2 linked regions of the Caenorhabditis elegans genome follow. The protein of the gene in region 1 purifies or fractionates together with the protein of each later gene. This does not show direct contact. Each region holds a gene or a part of one and is shown in the gene's direction. Other genes may lie near its edges. The genes, in order: F36H12.4 and F56D5.9.

Region 1 (8,859 bases):
CAGCATGTTGAATTTCAATTGGCTTGATGCTGAAATACATTTTTATAGCTTCAGAAGAAACAAAAGCATGTTTTTGTATCTTACCCAACTCTGGTTGCCTCTTGATTGAGTTGTTTGGCGTTCTCAGGTCTTTTAGTTTGACCTTTGAACCAGGTGAAGCGTTCTGTTGCAACACCACTCCAGTTTTCATCCATTTTCTTAGATTTCAAGATTGGCTCCGATGTCTCAGACTTCCGGCGCATCTTTCTTTTCCGAGTTTCTTGAATTTTTCGCCTGTTCTGAAATATTGGACATTAAAACCGAAAATAATTGATAAATCGAAAATTATTATTGCAGTTTCTACTAGTTTTGCACCCTTCTTTTTGCCTGACCAGCAATACTTTGCTGTGACGTCAGCAAATTTGTAATTTTTTAGTAAATTGAACTTAAAATCGTTGATATAATTGATGAAACATTGGAAAAGCGTGCATTTTTCCTTGTTTTACCGGTATCAAGTTGAGTTTTCAATAAAAAGTTGGCCCCTTTCCAAAGTTATTGGGCATTCGAAAATTAGTCTTGCAGTCTCCATTAGTCTTGCAAGACTAATAGAAGAAATACGGTGCAAGTCAATTAAAGATAATTTCTAAACAGTAGAAAAAAGATCACCTGTGACATCGCACGACCACTTTGAGCAGCATTCATTTGCTGGAGGATACCATTTTTCACGTCGCCATCTTGGTCATCTTGCTCAACTCCCTCCATTCGATCCGCATTTTCATCGTGCTGCCCGTCGATCATCTCACCCTGGTCTGCTTCAAACTCAACAGTTTCGATCACTTCTTCATCCCTTGATCTCTCAAGAATCTGAAAAACTTGATTGAACACGATTGATAGATGGAAGTAGTACAATTTAGCTTACTTCAGTAAGGTTCGAGTTTGAACCAACTTCAACCACTGAAGCAGAGGTGAGAGAATTCTCGCTAGTGCTTCCAGGAGGGCGAGGGAATGGCATTGGATATGGATACGCCATTTGCTGAAAAAGATACATAATGTCACGAAAAGGAAAACTTTAACGAACTCCTCACATCATTTGAATATCACTCACCTGTAGCGTTACCTTGTACGGCTGCCATTTTCCAAACTGATCCTTCAGCATGATTTCGCAATTAATTGAAGGGGCGTTCATTTCGTGTTTGCAGAAACTTAATGATTGAAAAACACACACTGACGAAAGTTCATTAGATAATTTTTATTTTTCCACGTAGACCACGTTAGAAAGTAGACCACGTTTATTTATTAATTATTTTTGTGTATTTAAAATATTGCTGATTTTTTGTTTTGTCATTGTAGACTGGAGATTAATTTCGGTGTTAATTCACTCCTAGTGATTGATAAGCAAAAAAAAGTCTTTGCAGTAATTTCCAATTACTTCGGTATACAAACTAGGCAAACGAGGACATTCTTCACTATTTACTTTGCGATCTGGATATTGCTCGTTTTTTTTTGTTCTCGTTTTATCGTGTTCTCTTTTCTCATTTTCTTGTTATATCTTCTCTACATTTCTCCGCCTATTTTACACATAAAACGTTGTGGCTGACGAAACCCGCAGACTGTCGGTGCACACAGCAATACATGTTCAGTTCTTTCGTTTTCCAAATTGGTTTTAACCCAGTTAACTAAGGTTAGCATTAATTTCGACCTTTCGAAAGATTGTGTTGAATAACAATAATTTTTGGAATTTTTGGAAATATTTTCAGGGTGACAGTGGAGGCAATTATATTCTTTCCCATCTCTCTCCCCATCCAAAACGACTAATGTCGATAGCTCAACACATTTCCCACAATTTTAATTCATGCTTTCAAGAAGGGCATCGAAGAGCTTGCCTGAAATTGAATTTACCTCAAAATTGAAACAGTAATTAAATAAATTTGAAGGAAAGTTCTTTTAAACGAAACAATCAGACTGGACTGGAACCGAATCAAATTTATTTTCCAATTACGAGCACTCCGGTATACAAATCAGGTAAACGAGGTCATTCTTCACTACGTTGCGATCCGGAAAATTGCTCGTAAACATTTTATAATTTTTTAAAAATTCTTTCTGACACGGCCCCTTTTGACAGTTCATTTGAAAAATTAATGTAACACCATTTACTATATATAAAGCGCTTATTCTGTGTGTCCATAGTTTGTAGTCTATGTAGTCTTTGTAGTCTGTGAAATTTTGGCTTCTGGAGGGATAGTGAGTTAGGGTTAGTGTAGGGATATAGTCGGGGTACTGTAGTGGTACGGTAGGAATACTGTAGGGTTACGGTAGTTTCATAAAAAAATTAATTTTCAGCCCCAGAAGTCGGGGGCCGTACGACGACAAGCACACCTACCACATCAAGGTGATCAACTCATCTGCTCGCCGTATTGGATACGGTATCAAGACCACCAATATGAAGAGACTTGGAGTTGATCCACCATGTGGAGTTCTCGACCCAAAGGAAGCAGTTCTTCTTGCCGTTTCCTGCGATGCTTTCGCCTTTGGACAGGAGGATACAAACAACGACCGTATCACTGTTGAGTGGACCAACACCCCGGATGGAGCTGCCAAGCAATTCCGCCGTGAATGGTTCCAAGGAGACAGTATGGTTCGTCGTAAGAACCTCCCAATCGAGTACAACCCATAGAGCCCTTAGCTATCTCTCTCAATAAATGATTTTTGAAAGATCGTTGTTTTTTCTCTTGTTTAAAATTTTCAGATTTTAAAACGTATCAAATTTGAGTACAACCCGAAGAAGGCTTAATAAGACGTCTCACTTTTTATTTTAATAAAGCTTCTTTGAGGAATTGATGTTTTAGTTGTAACCCTCTGTCATTCTGAAAGCCACAAAATTTCTTCAAAATTTCAAAATGTTCCTGATTATTTTTGGAATAGTTTGAGCATGTAATGTGTTTAATTTAATGTAACGTTTACACCCGCGATAATGCCCTCACCAACTCCCAACCAAATACCGCTACTTAAATGCACATCCAAGTGTCTTCCGACCAAAACGTCAAAAGATTGGAGATGATGGCGGAATTGTAGACCTATCAACTATGCTGCTACTTGGCACATTGCCAATGCTACTTACAGAAGAAAGAAGAACACCTTCTCCCCTCATTCTCTTCACAGGCAGATAGCACATCATCACCAACTCCCCCTCCCACTCTTTAGACTGTACCAACTCGAACAATTCGATCAGCACATTCTCCACAAGCTCCACCATCTTCACCAAACCTGAAAATTTTCAGTAAGATACATTTTTCAGATTTTGCTCTGTTCAGTTTCCTATTGCATTTCTCGTACAACAAATTTTTTGCACAAACTGAAAATTATGGTTTTGCCGCCAATACCTATCAAGACCAATGATTCGGGGGCGGAGAGTTTTTATTTGACATTGGAGCGCAATTTCAAACCATACATATTTTTCCCCAAATACGTGAAGAAATGTATTCTTTATCAGAAAGGTCAATCTTTGGAAATAAAAAAATCTACACGTATTACAGTAGTTTTAAAAGTTTCAAATTTATTCCTCAAGGATAACAGCTTAGATTCAGTCTCTCAAGAAATTGATTGTCTAACTGAGCAAGCATGATTCATTTGGTTTGTGCTTATCACATTTTCGCGATGTAAGTTTGATTAATTTCTGACAATTTGACTGAAATTGTGTCCAATTTCAGAATACTAATGTCGATGACTGTCTCTGTTGGATGCAAATCGAAGGCTAAAAAACCAAAAGCAGCTGCTCCGAACCCGGTAAGTATGAATGGGATTTTATAAACTGAAGTGTATTCAAAAACGGAAATTATTTCAGATAAGCTCGATCTCGTCAAACTCGAAAGTCGCCCCTCCAGCTTCTCCACCACCACCACCAGAAGCTGAAAAGAAGCCGGAAACGGGAGAAGAGCCGAAGAAAGAGAAATCGAAGATGAAAAGTGAAGTGAAGGAACCAGATGCTCCAAAAAAGGATGACAAAACATCAGATGAAAAGAAAGAGAAACAGGAGGATACATTTGATGCTGTCAAACCGAAACAACAGGATGCTGATAGAAAGAAGGAATTGTGTGATAAGAAGAAGGCTGAAAATAAGGGAGATTACAAGACATGGAATAAAATTATTGAAAATAGTGAATTCGATAAGACTTTGAGTGAAAATGATGGAAAGAAGAAGAAAAAGAAGAATAAGGATGATGAAAAGGATGAGAAAAAGGAAGATACAGATGGAAAGAAGGATGAGAAAAAGGAGGATGATAAGGATGACAAGAAGAAGACTGAAGAGGATGATAAGAAATAGAGCTATTGAATATTGAATAAAACCTTCGAAAATACAAATCGTTGTTCTTATTTTTGTCTTTCAGTATCCAAGTTCTCCGTTTTACCTCGATGCAATTGTTGTGTAGCGCCCCTTATCTAAATGTGTGTACCTAATGCCAAATATCTGGCTTAAAACTTTCGACAAGTCTTCCTCAAAAACCGCAGAAAATATATTACCAAATAGCATGTTTAGTGGTTTATCGATTTAAAACATTTTCATCGTCGTTTATTTCAATTTTCCAGAAAACTGCCCTTTTTAGATGGTTTCTCTACTTCACACAAATTATTTATTTAATTCACAAAAGAAAACGAGATAGTGTTGGTAAAAAAGAGACGCAGAAACAGTGAAAAAATTTTTAAATATTCAAATCCTAGGAGGCCGTGTTATTATCACTCGAGTTATAACTTAGATCTCGAGACTTTTTAACCATATTGATTATGAGAGCTGCTTTAAATGTGGAAAAAAATACTAAAATGAAGAGCGATTGCAGAGAAATTATGATAATAAATTTGTATCCGTTTAACCAAGTTATAAGTAGTTTATTAAGTTTTTACTTGAAATAGTTGATAGTAAGTTTTCCGGTCTTTCTTCTTCCAAAATGAATTATGAGAATCACTGAAAAATATATTAGTAATATTTATTAGTAATAAAAATATTTAAATGAAACAACTTACTGCAAACCACGAGAAGCAGAAGCACCAATCCGATGGTAATTGCAACATACCACGTGGCAATTTCTCCAGGAATCCAGAGAGTAAATGTGGTTGTAGTGGATGATTTGATGAACATGTAAACGGTAGTTGGATCTATTTCCACAAGGGAGCATGTTGTCTGGAAAATAAACAATTAATGTTTTAAAGAGGAGGAACAAGGAGAATCCCTGTGTTTTTGACGAAATTTACTTGCAAAAAGATCACCAAATTTAAGGGGATGAAAAATAATTTTAATTTCGCACAATATGGTTGTACATACTATACTAATACATTTAACCACAATTTTACTTAAATGCTGAAACAGTAATGTTTTTGTTTGCTTAAAGGAAAAGTGCACTGAAAATGATGAAACTGCGTGGCGTGTTTGCAGGGATTTTCAGAGTAATACGTAATAGTTTATAATTCTTCGGTTTTAAAAATGGAATATAACTAGCAAATTATTCTCAGAGAAGTTCGGTCAAAGTGAGTAGAACTTATTAATAAGCATTCTGAAACAGTAAAGATAACATTTTTTGGAATTGAAATTTCAAAATCAAAAAATTCGTTTTTTCTTGTTTATTTTGTCACACTGAAATTCAATACAAATTAGAGAAAAGCTCGAAAAATTGACATTTCTTGCGAATTTATGAAAACATTAAAAATTTGCAATAACAATTGACTTTAATTTGAATTCAAAAAAATAAAATTTTAATTTAATTTCTCAATAACCTTTTGAAATTTCACGTGACCTTTTCTCCCTACAAATTCATCTTGTTCCTATATAAGCTGCGCAAAAATCGAAAAACTTCAGTTTTCAACTTTTGGTTTTAAAAATTCCAAACCACTGAAACCAGTTAGTATCAATGATTGCACAAGTGAGTTTTCGCAGAGCCTTTTTTCAGAATTTATGTTTAATTTTTAGATCATGTTGCCAATGATTGCAATTTTCGTGCTACTTGGATCCATAGCAAATTGCGGTGGCAAGAAGAAAGGAGCAGCTGGAGCCGGAGCCGGAGTTGCAGCCAACAGCCCAAAAAAGGCAGATGGACCGTCGAAGAAGGAAACGAAGAAAGAAGGAGATGTGAGTTTAGAAGTACTTGCTGGGGTCTCACGAGCCAGGCACTTGCCTGCCTGTCTACAAGACTGATTCACAAATTTTTCAATGTTTCATTTAAATTTTGAAACGGAGAAAATTATGTATCAGGCAGACCAATTCACTTAACAAAATTTAAAATTTTCAGGACGGAAACTACGAGGAACTCGCCGTCCCACAATGATCCCCCTGCATCCCTGTCTCCCAGTTTCTCGAACTCTACATCTCTAGCAAAATAAATAATTTTTCTGGATAAAACTAACAAGATAAAAGTTATTCGGTGTTTCCCAAGAGTGTTTGTTGTTATAAATTTACTGTTTCTCTACAAAATTTGTAAGCCCTATTTTTGGGAGTTGTCATTGTCATTGCTTGGCCTCCAGAACTTGTTCTAATCAGTTTTCTGTCAATCCTCTTTAATTTTTCCTGATTCGAAAACAACCCCTCCATTGAAGAGTTTGAAGAATATAGAAGTTTTGGACACCTATTGTAGTCGTGAAACAGTTAATTTTTTTTTCATCAAGAAATGATGCAAAACTTTAACTTTCAAAACAAAACTTTGAGGTTTTCGGAGTATCGTTTGGAACTACTCAATATATTAAAATGACAGAATATCTTAGTAAAGACAGAAAAAAGTTATAATTTTTTACAGCCTCATATTCAGGAAAAATGTAAATGTGTGGCATAGTGCAGTTTTCGCCACTCTCAATTTTGAACGTCGACCAAAAATAGGTTTTTCTAGAAATTTAATTTCGTAATCGTTTAAATCCTTCACTGAATTTTTTGAGTGTTTGGAATTTTTATGAGTATCTAGGCAAACGCTCTGAAATTTCAGGTACTTTCAGCTAAATATTGGCATTCCATGGGCGCCCCACTCTTTGCAAGTAAAATAATTAAATTATTGTTCTTAAAACTTTTAATCCTTAGTTGAGAAATCCTATTTCAAAATTCGGTTTTTGAGGATTACTTTAAGCATATTTAAAAACGTTAAATCCGATATTCACCTTTTAGCTTTATGTAATTTTGAAACATTTTTTTTTAGTAAAACGCTTACATTATCCATCATAGTTTTCAGATCGATATCAATTCTATGAGATCCTGCGGCAAGGTTAGAGTAGAAAATGTCTGTTTCTTGACTTTTACAAGGTGACAGATGAATATCGATGGCTCCGGTTCTGAAAACTCTGGACATTATGTAACAAATAATTGAGAGACAGATGAATTAAATTTGTCTAACAGAAATAGTATCTTAAAGAGAGTGAAACATAACAAAGCAATTAAATCAAATATACTAAAAATTGTGTTTTAAGTAAAAAGTAAGAACTTACACAACATCCAAAAAAGCGTGAATATTTTCCATAGTTGATTGATATTTCAGCTCGATCATCCTCATTTCACCCTGTTCAACCGTAAATGTTCCAGTCTCATAAAATGCTACGTGGCTTTCTAACGACGGCTCTGCTCCGTTGATAAGTACTATCATGGATCCGTTGATGGAAAACTGAGATTCAAGTCTGAAATACATCAAAAGATGGAGTTTAATTAAAGAAGAATATTGGGCAAGAAAAACCTTATGATCAAAGGAGATGTTGGTTGTGTTGAGTTGCTATAAAACGCCACGGAAGAATCACAGGAGTAGGCATCTGAATGAATAAAGTAGAAAAATGAGTGAATATGGGTTATGAACTAGTCAAAAATAACAAAATCGCAAACATTTTTAACGTAATTGCAGAGACTTCAATTTTAAAGTTAGCATTACCACAAAATATTAAGATGGATTTTCTGCTCTCCAAAATTTCCTGTTTCAGTATACTGATTTATTTGAAGAAAACACGAATCAACCGATTCAGTTGACAATGGTTTTTTTTACCAAATTTTTTAAAATTTTAAAGAAAACACGAATCAATCTATTCAGTTGACAATGGTTTTTTTTAACCAAAATTCTTAGAATTTCAGAAAGAAAAAACAAATCAACCTATTCAGTTGACAATTGTTTTCTTTTACCAAATTTTTTAAAATTTTAAAGAAAAAACGAATCAACCTATTCAGTTGACAATGGTTTGCATCGAAATCAGGTGTGTGCGGCAAATCTCAAAATTTGCCGAGCTGAATTCCACTCATAGGCAGGGTTAAAGTATGCTAAGATTTAAATTTCAATCTATATGTTATAAAGTGAATGAAAAAACAAAAATAAATCAATAAACTGAAACATGTACCATTCTGTGAGGCCGAACTATTGGTTCCGATTTTCTTCGTTTTTTTTTGTTTAAATTACGTTAAAAGGTATACCCGATTTTTTCGCCAACCCAATAATTATCAGTAATCCGGAAAAGTCAAACTAAACGTTTTTTTTTTGAAATTTCTTGAAATCATATATTACCGTAATACATTTCCATTCGGGGACTTTTCAACGTAATTTCAAAATTTGGGGCGTAGGAAGTCGTGTAGAGTATTCCTTTGTTTTCTGGGCAAAATGTTATGTAAACCTGAAAATGTCTTGCTTTTTCCTTCTTTTAAAAAAATCTGAAGCACTGTCGCAAAATGTTTGAATATTTTAAACTTGAATCAAAAGTAGACATTAAAATTCGAAGAAAAATTTGTTCTGATCGACGACTTTCAAGATTTTGAACACAGATTTTTTCCAATTTTGAAAAAATTATATAAAATTTAGAAACTATGATAGTTGGTCATTGTGGTGCCATAAACATGTCTTTAAGTTAACAATAAACATTCTAGCCTCTAAAAAAGTAATACAG
Region 2 (12,636 bases), 4.2 Mb from region 1:
ATTACATTTTATAGCTCAATTGGGAAGATGACTGATAGTGAGTTTTTTTTTCTTTTCTTACTAGTTAGTAAAAACGAAGTTTTGATTTACCACAATGGACTTTTATAGGTAATTCTTCTTAGAAGAAATCATCAAAATACTCAACCCAAACAATTCTTAGAAACAAAAGTTTGAACAAGAAGTTGTTTTCTTTTTTCCATTCTTGGGACAAGTATTCTCATCCATTTAAGAATAGAAACCGATACAATGTTCATAGAGTATTCAGAACAGGAAGAGAAAAACATCTATGATTGCAACTGCTCAGTTTGCAGAATCATTTCCAAATAGGTCTTATAAGATAAGTTATGAGATGCCGGGTTACTGTCACAATATACGTATTTTTAAAAATTTCTAATAAACTTCAAAAGCTAATTTGATAAAGAGGAAACGCGTTAATCTTTGCCGTAGTCAAAGAAAAAAGGCGGTAGGTAGTCAGCTTTATACTTCAAAAATTATGTTAGTTTCTTTCTCATTATGAAATAATTCTCTTCTCATTATGAAATACTTAATACTAACACCTTGTGCTCTTTATTTTGTCTAGAAATCAATTTTAAAAAGATGCCCATAATTTAATTTTGATAATTTTCTACTGGAATCTGCAAAATTGAAAAAAAAGGCAAACAACAAATATTGTTAAATTTCCCTGTGCATGGAACTGTTTCAATATATGTAAGTTTTTTCATAGACAAGATGACCACCGAGTTTTAGAAATTCCAAAAAATATGCATTGTTTATCACTTTTCTTGGATAGAAACACTTAAAAAGTTCACAGACGCTTTAAAATTTAATATTCAGATATTGGTCAATGAAACTAAAAATGACGAAAAGGAAATACTGAGACTTTAAAATTGAATCAATCTACACTAAAACAATAGAATAAAAGGTTAGAATTCCGTGAGTGGTTTTTTCTAAATTGTAAACAGAACATTTTTTGGTCAGTTGTTATCGTTAAAGGACTACAAAATTCCATTTATTCTGTCTAAAACGAATACAATTATCCAACTCGTTGAAAATTGTGTACAGCCAAGATGTTAAGAAACGCCAATTTAAAAACTTTCTCAATTATTGCTGAACAGCTGAAATTGTTGAACGGATTTCCAAAAAATTTTAGAGCGCCCAAGTCTTTGGGTATTTTCAGAAAGTAAATTTCTCATTACAATAAAAATTTTAACATTTTGACAAAGTTTCAGATTAAAAAAACTGAATATTTTCTTTGTGTTACAATTTTACAAATAAAACATATTTGGAAAAGTTGAAAAATCCGTTTTATATTTTAATGGAACAACGAGTATTGTTCAATTTTTAATTGATCCGACCATAAAACATTTTTTTCAAATAAAATTGGTAGAAATTGGAAAAATTGGAATCTTCATTCCTTTTCTGCAAAAAATAAATAAGTTGAGTATATTTGAAGAGTCTCAATAATGATATATTTGCATTATTTGCACGTACTCATTGCTAGGTGAAGTTTCAAGTAATTCAAGTAACTAAAAAAACGACATGATCCAGTGTTTCTCTTATTGTGAACTTGGAAGTTGTTAAAAAATGTCTGGTATTTTAATTTTCTAGAAAAAATTTATGAAAAAGCAAAGCACATTCCTGATTAAAAAAAAAACATAACTTCCTATGATGATCTAGAAATCGAGAGAGGAAGATGTCATGTAATAGATAAAAACACGGCGAAGGCATTTGAATATTTATGAGATTATTTTTGATCTTGTTTTATATATATTCTAGACGTTTTAGGGTCAATTTCTATTATTTTTTTACAGTTGACGCACATCAAAAAAATTTCGTCCAAAAAGTAGGCGATAGGCAGGCATGAGACATGCTAACTGCGGACTCTGTTAGGTTCCCATAGTTTCCAAAACAAACAAAAAAACAATTTTAATTGTTCTGAAAAAGCAACAACACAAAAAAGGATCACAGACACCAAATCGAATGAGAAAGTGCAAAGGGCCAATATTGGAAAGAAGTTGGTGTCGACATATGCTCAGAAAATCAAATTTCGATTCGTTTCGCTTCAACTATTTTGGGGCCACCCTCCCTAGAATGAGACGAAATCCCGAGGATGGAGGGGGCATCAAAAAGTTGTCCTTAGAATGACAACAACACACGAAAATTGCCGAAATTTTTAGAGAAGAAATGTTCGAAAAGGACAAGATGAGAATGAAAGAAGGGAGGAAGAGAAAATTAATTGAATCATTCAAACACACACACACACATCCACTGAGGACTCACACGTTTTACTAATTTTTTGGGTGAATTTTGTTTAAACGGGTGTGTTTTTCGAATATTTTCAAGTGTCACCAGTTCCTGGTTTTTTCAGTAATAATAACAGTTCAGTGAACAAAAAGTACATTTGCCACCACCCTCAATAACTAAAAAATTCTGCTGCCAAGGAAGGTTTTTTACTGGTTGAGTATATTATCTGAAGAGTAGAGTCTGTGGGGATTTTAAATAAACATATTTATAAAAATAGCCCAAAATGGCCGAATCTTATAATAAAAAATTTCAAAAAGATTTGATGTTCTTAGGATTTCGGTAAGAACTTAGTCAATTTTGATAATTTCAACTTTTTTGATAATATCAACGGAAGCTTCTAGCATTACTGCTGAGCAATATTTAACGACAAATAATGGAAAATGTAAATAAACAAATATGAGTACTCGTAGAAAAAAATTGTGTTTGGAAGACAACCATTTTTAACAGCGAACACAGAAGTTCAACGAATTTTAGAACTGTGTTATGCATGTTTGGAAACCATAGAGGTATTTTAACCAATTTATTGTAATTTCCTTAGAGAAAATGGTTTTCAAAATTTGTATTGAAACGATCAAGAAGGAGAAATCATGATTTTATGGCATGGATTCACAAACAGTTTTTATTCTCCGAAATCATTAAACCATTTCGCAATCATAAAAGCTGTTTCAAACATATATTTTATGCAAAAATAATGTTTGATGATCGAAGAAAAGTTTACTAAACATTGGAAACCATAAAAGAAACTATTAATTTTTGAGCACGATTTTGTAGGCTCGGGGATTAACTGGTTATTTCGGTGAGTCAGTGAATTGTGTTATCATGTTAAACAGCATACCGGAGTTTTTTTTTGGATTTTACCAGCAAATGATTCCAAACGTTCAAACTTTTAATTTTTTTCTGAAAAAAAGAGAACACGCACACGAATTCTAGCCGCTGCTAATGAAAATGGAAAGCGCTCGAATGATTTTCCCGAGCTTTGTTGACTTCTTTCCAAAAATTACAATAAACATTTTTTATTCCAGATTTTCAGCAATACTTTCTTTAATCTATTTCATTTGATTTTGTAATCATTCACCAAAATTTTTCTGAGCAATTTGGGTCATGCGAAAAAATTTAACTTGCAACGAAGAAATATTTTATTCAATGTAAAAATTAAGATTAATATTGTTTTTTTAAGTGAGTTCAAAATCAGAGTAACAATGAGAATTCCAAAATTTTAAAGATCTGGTTGATAAAATTGTTTTTTCTCTGGTAGAACAACGTTTTATAATTTATAAAATACTAAAAGGTAATTTGTTTCTGGGCTAAACAGTTTAGCCTAAACTATAAAGAATTACAATAAACAGAAAAAATAATTAATGTAAAATTCTTGCGTTACTATGACTGAAACTTTGACTTAAATGTAGATGGTTCACACTTCCAAATGACTTTAAAACTATTTTTCTAGTTGATTTGGTGAGCACAAAATATACAAAAAAGTTCAATGAACTGATTGCCAGCAAACGTAGATCATAGGATATTGTTTGAAGCTCGAAGGGAAGATTTTCAAAATGTTGCTGAAAATAATTATATTATTTTCACAAATTATCTTGTTTGATATTCTTACCGGATAAAGCCTCATGTGTAAGTATAAAATCTCATAAACACTCAAATAAACTCCAATAAAACATGCTTGACGAATCATTTCATTTTCTCGTTTTACGTGTGACAAAGATATTGACGAGGCAGTGCTCTTCCAGCGATTTCTCAGATATTTTTGATAAATTAGAATTCCAGAATTGACTACCATTGACACAATTGGAACATAAATAAGAAAGTTATTTTGAAATAAAGTGATTGGATGACGAGACGGAGCACATGCTGATTCGTGGTAACTGGTCAAAGCATTGAAGTTTAATGAGCAATTTGAAAAATATGGAATCAGAAGCCAAATGGTAATGAGAATCTGCAACTCTTTCAGGGTATTATAGGTTTCAAAATACTGTAGCCTACCGTAACCCCAGTGCAATACACAACAACCTTCGTGTCGCTGAACCATTTTGATGATTTAATCGGTGATATGAAAATAGACATCCTATGGAAAGTCATTATCCAATCCAAAAATAATGGAGCTAAATAACAAATGGTGAATAGCAGAGATACTTCTGTTCCAACAGCATGACGATACTCTGAAAATTGACTGTGGAGCTTATGATTTCAAAACTGTTTCAGAATTCAGATCAAGCATCTTGCCAACTCACTCTGATATCCACCATTAGGCTCGATCCATTCAGAAATAGGCCAGGCGTCTACCATTAGAAAGTCTATCAATTTTTCCGAAATTCCAAAAATTGTCATAAAAATAATATAGATAAAGGGTCCAGATTGGGAAGACATTTTCAGTTTTAAAACTGAAAATAGCAGAAAGAAGTCAAATATTAAAAATAATAAATTGAGAATTGAAAATACCAGCTGAGCTAGATTAACTATCCAATATATCATTTTGCGGGGTTTGAAAAATAGAAATAATATCACAAATCAAAATATTCAAACTGTGAGGTGATCAGTCGAGCAAATGCTTCTGCTCGAGTGCATGACAAATTTGCTTTAGAACTCAACACTGACGAGAAAAAGTAGAACTTTGTTTTTCCGCGCACATTTTCCTGAGAATCTTGGAGAAAATGTAAAATAGTGACACATTCTTACGTGGGAATATCAACAAGCAGTATACTTTATTTTAAGAAGCAGAGTAAAAAACTGATCTTACGGACAAAGATTGAAATATTCGTTCTAGATTTTTGATAAAAAATATGTCAGCAATCTCTTTCACTTTTTCGCATTCGGGATAAGTTTTCGATGTGTAAATCAGGAGCCTCACATCATTGGCATCACAATGTGCACTGTAAATTTTAGATTCTCCGAGAAAAGTGTCATTCTGAAAATTGGACTTTTTCTCAAAATCATACAAATTTTGCAGGTAAACAACTCAAAAAAAAGTAAAGTAGGAAAATGAAAACTCAGCTCACAATCAGAATACAAATAAAAAGTTAAGCCTACTCTTTGACAATAAAATGAAAAAAATCGAAAAAATTGGACATTACGTGAAGACAGTTGCGAACAAGAAGAATTTTTTGGAAAAAAATCGCTTGTTGCTCTTATTTTAGTCCTAGTGATAAACAAAACATTTCATTGATTATTTTCGATTTTCTAGTGAAGTGATTTCTCCGGTAATGCAAGGTGAGCAAAGTTTGTTCATAAAATCATGCATGTTTCATTTGATTTCAGATGAATAAAGCTATTAGTATACTCTTTGCAATTACCTTAATTTTTTGTTTCAATCGACTGTTAGCGTTCTCAACATCCACCGAAGAAACCACATTTGAAAGTGATAGTGAGTTGAATTTTCTATTTTCATTTCACTTTTATCAATTAAACATTTTAGTAAAATCGCCAAATCTCGAAAACTTCATGAATGATGTTTCCACCTTGATTAATCTAACGAAAGCAATATCAAGTCAAGCACGTCTTTTCCATGATTTCGATCTGGAAACTTCTACATTTTTCAAAGCAACGCCACTTGATCTACAAGCATTTCTTGCTCTTCAACCGAATGAAACGATGGCAGCATTCACAAAGTTTTACAATGAAATTCGAAAGGTAACAGTCCCGTCGAACGTTACAGAATTGAAGACAGTAGTGAACCACTTAGTTATGCTATCTTCGTTGGAATCATATTTTCACCGAAAAAAATTTTCCCCGAAAAAAAAGTTCAGTCGTATATTCGGAGATTTGAAAAGTTGAAAAGTAAGATGCCAAATCCACCTGATCTAAAACCACCCGAATTTAAATATTTTGATGATATCGAATATTGTCTATCGAATGACATTGATAGAACAAAATTATCATTTTGCTTTGCTCTTTTCTCCGACGGAAAGATTGAAGAATTATTCAAAAAAGACATGGATCAGCTCAGCAAAAGTCTCGAATACAAAAATGTCGTCAAAAAGTTTAACGAAAGGCACTCTGATATAAGTATATTAGATGACATTATTGACGCTGTTCAAGAATTTACCGTAAATGGTGAATTTGTAAAATCTTCTGCTTCGTTATTGAGAACAATCAGTCAAAATCTTGTCAAAGTTAGGAAGGCTTTGAAAAAGAACAGCAAAGGTGTTGGTGATGGTATGAAGAGGACATTATTTGGCGAAAAAGTTAACCTCTATGAATCAAAAATTAAAGAAGTTGCTGGAATGTTGAGAGTATTCAATTCCAAGTGGCTGAAACATGTACTTGGGGATGAGAACACAAAGACCCTTTATGATGGACTCGAACCTATCAGAAATCATTTGAAAACAATGAAAAAAGTGAAGAAGATAGTTTTAAAACATCCGGATAGCTTAAGAGCAGCTTTATTGATGTCAGTAAAAATCAGTGATCTGGAAAAGTGGAACGATTTCGAAATATCGAGTACTATCATAGACGTTGTGGAGACTTGCGTTGTTAATTTGCCCACATTCACGAAATCTTTTGATTATGAAAAATTTAAAAATATATTCATTCATATGGATAATCTTGCCACTGAACTACATAAATACATTCGAAGAGTACGAAAAATAATAAAGCAGAAAGATAAAACCTTGGATGAACTGAAGAATATACGAGTAAAAGTTAAGGAAATCATGAAGTCCGATTCTGGAAATTGGCGTCAAATACAATCCAATTTATATAACAAAATAAGTCCAAATGATACCAAGTCTATCAAGAGAATGTCCGAAAATGTCACGCAATTGATAAGTGATTACGATGGAAGTGAATTTGTTAAGAGTATCATCAACGCTCCGTCTCTTGATTATTTGAATGATGTTTTATTAGAAGTTAATGTGACAAAAGCTTTTACCATTGGAAAATGTTTGAGAACTGGAAACTTTAAATTAGGAAAAATAAACAATAATCTGTTTAACCTTCTTAATTTTGAATCATTCAAATCTCCTGAAACAGAATCTGCATCAAAAATGGTTGGATCTTATATGGATGACCTTTCTAAAATTCTGAAGGCGCTGAACTCTGCTAGAGACAATACATTGAAGAAGTTAAGTGATGAGATCAAGTATTTGAATAGGTTCAATCAATCCGAAGAAATCAATAAACCTTTACTTATTGGAAAAGAAGCAATAGAGGAACTGCATATTAACCAGAAAGAGATGAATCTCCTACGAAGTATGTTAAGTTCAACTTCTCATTTCAATGGCAACTTCTGGAAAGTATGGGAGTCTCAAGGCAAAAAGAAATTAAACGAGACTATTGAAAAAATGAGCAATTTGAATTATTTGATGGGAAATCGCGTGAATAATGACATTTCAAGTGTTGCGATTGTATTTGACGAAGCTGCGACTTTTCATGGATTGGTTGGAGTTTTCAAAAATTTCGATGAATTCAAAGAAAACGTGAAACATTTAAAAGGAAGTCAGAAGATAATCGAACAAATGGAAGGAATTAAAGCTCTTCGTTTGGATTTCACTTATTACCACAAAGAACTCAAAGCTGCTTCAGAGAGTGTCACATTTCTTAACAAATTTCTTGATGAGCTTTTTGAAATGGGCAGGCATGAAACAATTTGGATACAAAATTCAATTCCATGGTACTTCATTGTTCTCATCATATTTGGATCACTTGTTCTTTTCATCATTCTCTTGATTATCTTGTATTCAATAACTCCAAATGGAAGAAGGAAGTTGAAACGATTTTATTTGAATCGATTTGCATCAGAAGCAGTTACAAATTTGCACTGGAGATATTCAGTGAGTTATTATTCAATTTTCAGTTCAAATAAAATTAATTTCAGTTCTGGATTGATCAAGAAGCTGATAAAAATGCATTATGTGAAGCTGTTAGAGAAATTAATTTCGATCAAGTGAAGGTATTGGTAGATAAGGGAGTGTTCATTAATGTGTACAACAGTAAGAAGATAATCAATCAATTTTTATTTAATTTGATGTAATTCCAGTGTTTGGAAATACTCTTCTTCATGCTGCTGCGAAATATGGACACGTTAAGATTGCTGATTTTCTCATTCGGAATGGTGCTGATAGAGGAGCTTTTAATGTTGAGAATAAGACACCAGAACAAGTATTGGCTGAAAGTGTGCAGGTAAGCTAGATTTTATATATTTAAGCTGTAGTTTCTTGCATTGCTCTACTTTGACGGCTCATATATCGGTTGTCGTTGGTTTCATCAAAAATGTGTAACATTGAAGCAAAAATTTGCCATTTGATAGTTTTTCATTAAGCCAAAGAGAACTGAAATTTAAATTGTCAAAGTGGAGCAAGGGGGTCAGTATTATTTTGAAATACGTTAAATGTTACATTTCCAGACAACAACCAAATTTCTAACATTGACTAGTCCTACCAGTGGAAGTGAAGGAGTAACAAAGAGTAAACTGACAGAAATGGGAAATCTGACGGATATTGAGAAGATTTTTGAGAAGCACAGAGGAAAAGTGTTTAGACAGAGTGAGTTTATCCATCCTTCAATTAATGTAATTTGGGAGTATTTATTTCAGAACTCCCAGAGCTACTTCCAACTATGTCGTATCGTATTCGTATTGATGCTCAATTGACTGGTATTACTTACGAATCATTCATTGAAAGGTACAAAGGAAATGTGAGTTTATGTTCGTTTTGAGTTATCAGTTAAACCCAAAATTTAAAGGTGACTGATCAAATGTCGGGTGTAACTCATTTCATTGTATTAACTGATGCTACTGGTCTTTTTGAATCAGATGATTTTGGTTACATAATGTGCATTTTCTTGCCAACATTAATCATGAAACAGCAGTGGATGAATGACTGTTTGAAAAAGAAATCAAACTTCCGAAATGATTATAAATATCGTGTGGAAAGAGTGAAATACAAGGGAGTCGTGTATGAAACAGTTTTGAAATGGGCCGAATGGATTCACAAACAAAAAATTCCTTTCTTGTTTGGAGTACATTTCCATGTGGCAATCGAGAAGATGTCTGAAAATGAGAAGATGCATTTGAAACAGTTGGTTGAAATGCACGGAGCCACATGGATGGATCAGATGCCAAACAAAGCGAATTTCAATGCAGGATCCCACCCATTCCACCATTTCCATCTCGGACCACTTTTCATTATCCACGAAAAGAAGGTATGTTGCGTAATATTTAACTTGACAAATAATTAATTCCCAGTGCATTTGCTTTCTAAATTCGATAAGAATTCGATTTTTAAGTTATTTTTTCCAGAATAACATGGAAACATATAAAAACGTGACGGTGATGTACCAAAAGCCGAAATTTATTTCAAATGGTAGTTCAATTATTCCTCATCCAAAACGGTAGTCACTGGAATAGGAACCTTTCGCTCTGGATCATAGAAGCATTCCAACTTCAACATGAAAATAATGAATTGATCATACGTCATCAGAGTGTACATCTTGTCGTTTTTATATGTTTCCATGTTATTCTGGAAAAAATAACTTAAAAATCGAATTCTTATCGAATTTAGAAAGCAAATGCACTGGGAATTAATTATTTGTCAAGTTAAATATTACGCAACATACCTTCTTTTCGTGGATAATGAAAAGTGGTCCGAGATGGAAATGGTGGAATGGGTGGGATCCTGCATTGAAATTCGCTTTGTTTGGCATCTGATCCATCCATGTGGCTCCGTGCATTTCAACCAACTGTTTCAAATGCATCTTCTCATTTTCAGACATCTTCTCGATTGCCACATGGAAATGTACTCCAAACAAGAAAGGAATTTTTTGTTTGTGAATCCATTCGGCCCATTTCAAAACTGTTTCATACACGACTCCCTTGTATTTCACTCTTTCCACACGATATTTATAATCATTTCGGAAGTTTGATTTCTTTTTCAAACAGTCATTCATCCACTGCTGTTTCATGATTAATGTTGGCAAGAAAATGCACATTATGTAACCAAAATCATCTGATTCAAAAAGACCAGTAGCATCAGTTAATACAATGAAATGAGTTACACCCGACATTTGATCAGTCACCTTTAAATTTTGGGTTTAACTGATAACTCAAAACGAACATAAACTCACATTTCCTTTGTACCTTTCAATGAATGATTCGTAAGTAATACCAGTCAATTGAGCATCAATACGAATACGATACGACATAGTTGGAAGTAGCTCTGGGAGTTCTGAAATAAATACTCCCAAATTACATTAATTGAAGGATGGATAAACTCACTCTGTCTAAACACTTTTCCTCTGTGCTTCTCAAAAATCTTCTCAATATCCGTCAGATTTCCCATTTCTGTCAGTTTACTCTTTGTTACTCCTTCACTTCCACTGGTAGGACTAGTCAATGTTAGAAATTTGGTTGTTGTCTGGAAATGTAACATTTAACGTATTTCAAAATAATACTGACCCCCTTGCTCCACTTTGACAATTTAAATTTCAGTTCTCTTTGGCTTAATGAAAAACTATCAAATGGCAAATTTTTGCTTCAATGTTACACATTTTTGATGAAACCAACGACAACCGATATATGAGCCGTCAAAGTAGAGCAATGCAAGAAACTACAGCTTAAATATATAAAATCTAGCTTACCTGCACACTTTCAGCCAATACTTGTTCTGGTGTCTTATTCTCAACATTAAAAGCTCCTCTATCAGCACCATTCCGAATGAGAAAATCAGCAATCTTAACGTGTCCATATTTCGCAGCAGCATGAAGAAGAGTATTTCCAAACACTGGAATTACATCAAATTAAATAAAAATTGATTGATTATCTTCTTACTGTTGTACACATTAATGAACACTCCCTTATCTACCAATACCTTCACTTGATCGAAATTAATTTCTCTAACAGCTTCACATAATGCATTTTTATCAGCTTCTTGATCAATCCAGAACTGAAATTAATTTTATTTGAACTGAAAATTGAATAATAACTCACTGAATATCTCCAGTGCAAATTTGTAACTGCTTCTGATGCAAATCGATTCAAATAAAATCGTTTCAACTTCCTTCTTCCATTTGGAGTTATTGAATACAAGATAATCAAGAGAATGATGAAAAGAACAAGTGATCCAAATACGATCAGAACAATGAAGTACCATGGAATTGACTGTGATTTCAAAAATCTTTTCTTTTTTGTCATTTTAATCGAAAACAATCCATCAAGGAATGTACTCAAATCTTGAATGCTCGTTGTAGCAAAAGTTAGTTCTTTCCGAAATGTGGTAAAATCCAATCCAAGATCGTCCAATTTTTTGAACAGTATTATTACTTCTTCTTCGTTTTGTTTGATATTCGTAGCATTTTCTTTGAATGAGATGAAATTTGTCAATGCACCATTCAATCCGTGAACTTTGGAAGCTTCATCAAATATATTTATAACACTTGTTAAGCTGTTCTTGAATTCATTTTTTATCCATTCCTCCAACTTATTCACTTCCTCAATCATATTTTGTAATTTTCCTTTTCCCTGACTTTGCCATGTGTTCCAAAATGGGTGCATAAACTTTGTATCTGTGGATATAATTGTTTGTAAAAGCTTTTCTTCTTTTTGAACATGTGATATAGTTCTGATAGCTTCTCTTCCTGATTTAAGATTATTCTCAATAACATTGTTTGTTTTATTGAAAGTGTTCAAATACGTTGTTTCTTCGGTTATGTTCTTTTTTGTGGTTTTTCTCAAAGTATTGATCACATCAATAAAATTGCTAACTCCATTTAAGTATTCGACTGTCGATTTCACATGATTTTCTGTTTCACTCAATGTAAAATACTTCAAATGTTTTGCTCCAATCAACACCTCATCAACTTGTCCTTTGTCAAAGTTACTTCTTGAAAGACATTCTCCAATTGATATCATTTTTGATACATCAAATTGTGATAAAATGTTAATTATTCCATCCATTGGCATATGGTTTACAATTCTATCCATAAATGAAGTATCATACCTATTTGAAAATCTTTGAAAATCTTTAACATGAGACAACATTGATTTTATGTTATCCGTATCATTTCCTTTTAACATATTTTCAATTCTGAACCCAATTTGTTCAGCATTATTTTATGCTTGCGGAGCCCAAGACGTCGTGATTGTTCTCAACTGCCTCAATCCTTCCATGACATCGTTTTTAGTTTGGAGTAGAGCAGTTGCACTTTTGAAATAATCATTTAAGTCAGAAATAAGCAAATCTAGAAATTTGAAAGTCTCCTGAAACGTTGTGTAATCAAATGAATCAGTGACATTTGGAATAGTTGAAGTACAACTGCTGCCTGCAGCAATGATCTCCTTTGAAATTTGGAGATTTCCATTTCCTTTCGAGGTTTCTATAACAGAAATTGCAT

What was found.
Region 2: the proteins of F36H12.4 (region 1) and F56D5.9 fractionate together in Caenorhabditis elegans (co-fractionation; one large-scale study listed by BioGRID). This does not show direct contact.

Annotation. Positions count from the first base shown.
Region 1 is NC_003282.8:5,263,269-5,272,127, forward strand, and holds F36H12.4 (uncharacterized protein), read left to right. Parts: upstream 1-5,834; 5' UTR 5,835-5,876; coding exon 5,877-5,888; intron 5,889-5,935; coding exon 5,936-6,094; intron 6,095-6,254; coding exon 6,255-6,290; 3' UTR 6,291-6,358; downstream 6,359-8,859. Other genes in the region: F36H12.5 (Lipoprotein), read left to right, coding at 3,598-3,635, 3,687-3,762, 3,821-4,300; F36H12.17 (Cadherin domain-containing protein), read right to left, coding at 4,872-4,936, 4,996-5,152, 7,158-7,278, 7,432-7,617, 7,674-7,746, 8,484-8,589.
Region 2 is NC_003282.8:9,415,439-9,428,074, reverse strand, and holds F56D5.9 (BRCT domain-containing protein), read left to right. Parts: upstream 1-5,566; 5' UTR 5,567-5,568; coding exon 5,569-5,674; intron 5,675-5,725; coding exon 5,726-5,940; intron 5,941-6,056; coding exon 6,057-8,081; intron 8,082-8,125; coding exon 8,126-8,240; intron 8,241-8,287; coding exon 8,288-8,430; intron 8,431-8,653; coding exon 8,654-8,792; intron 8,793-8,842; coding exon 8,843-8,943; intron 8,944-8,991; coding exon 8,992-9,450; intron 9,451-9,547; coding exon 9,548-9,643; downstream 9,644-12,636. Other genes in the region: srxa-2 (G_PROTEIN_RECEP_F1_2 domain-containing protein), read right to left, coding at 3,660-3,860, 3,911-4,249, 4,297-4,472, 4,545-4,680.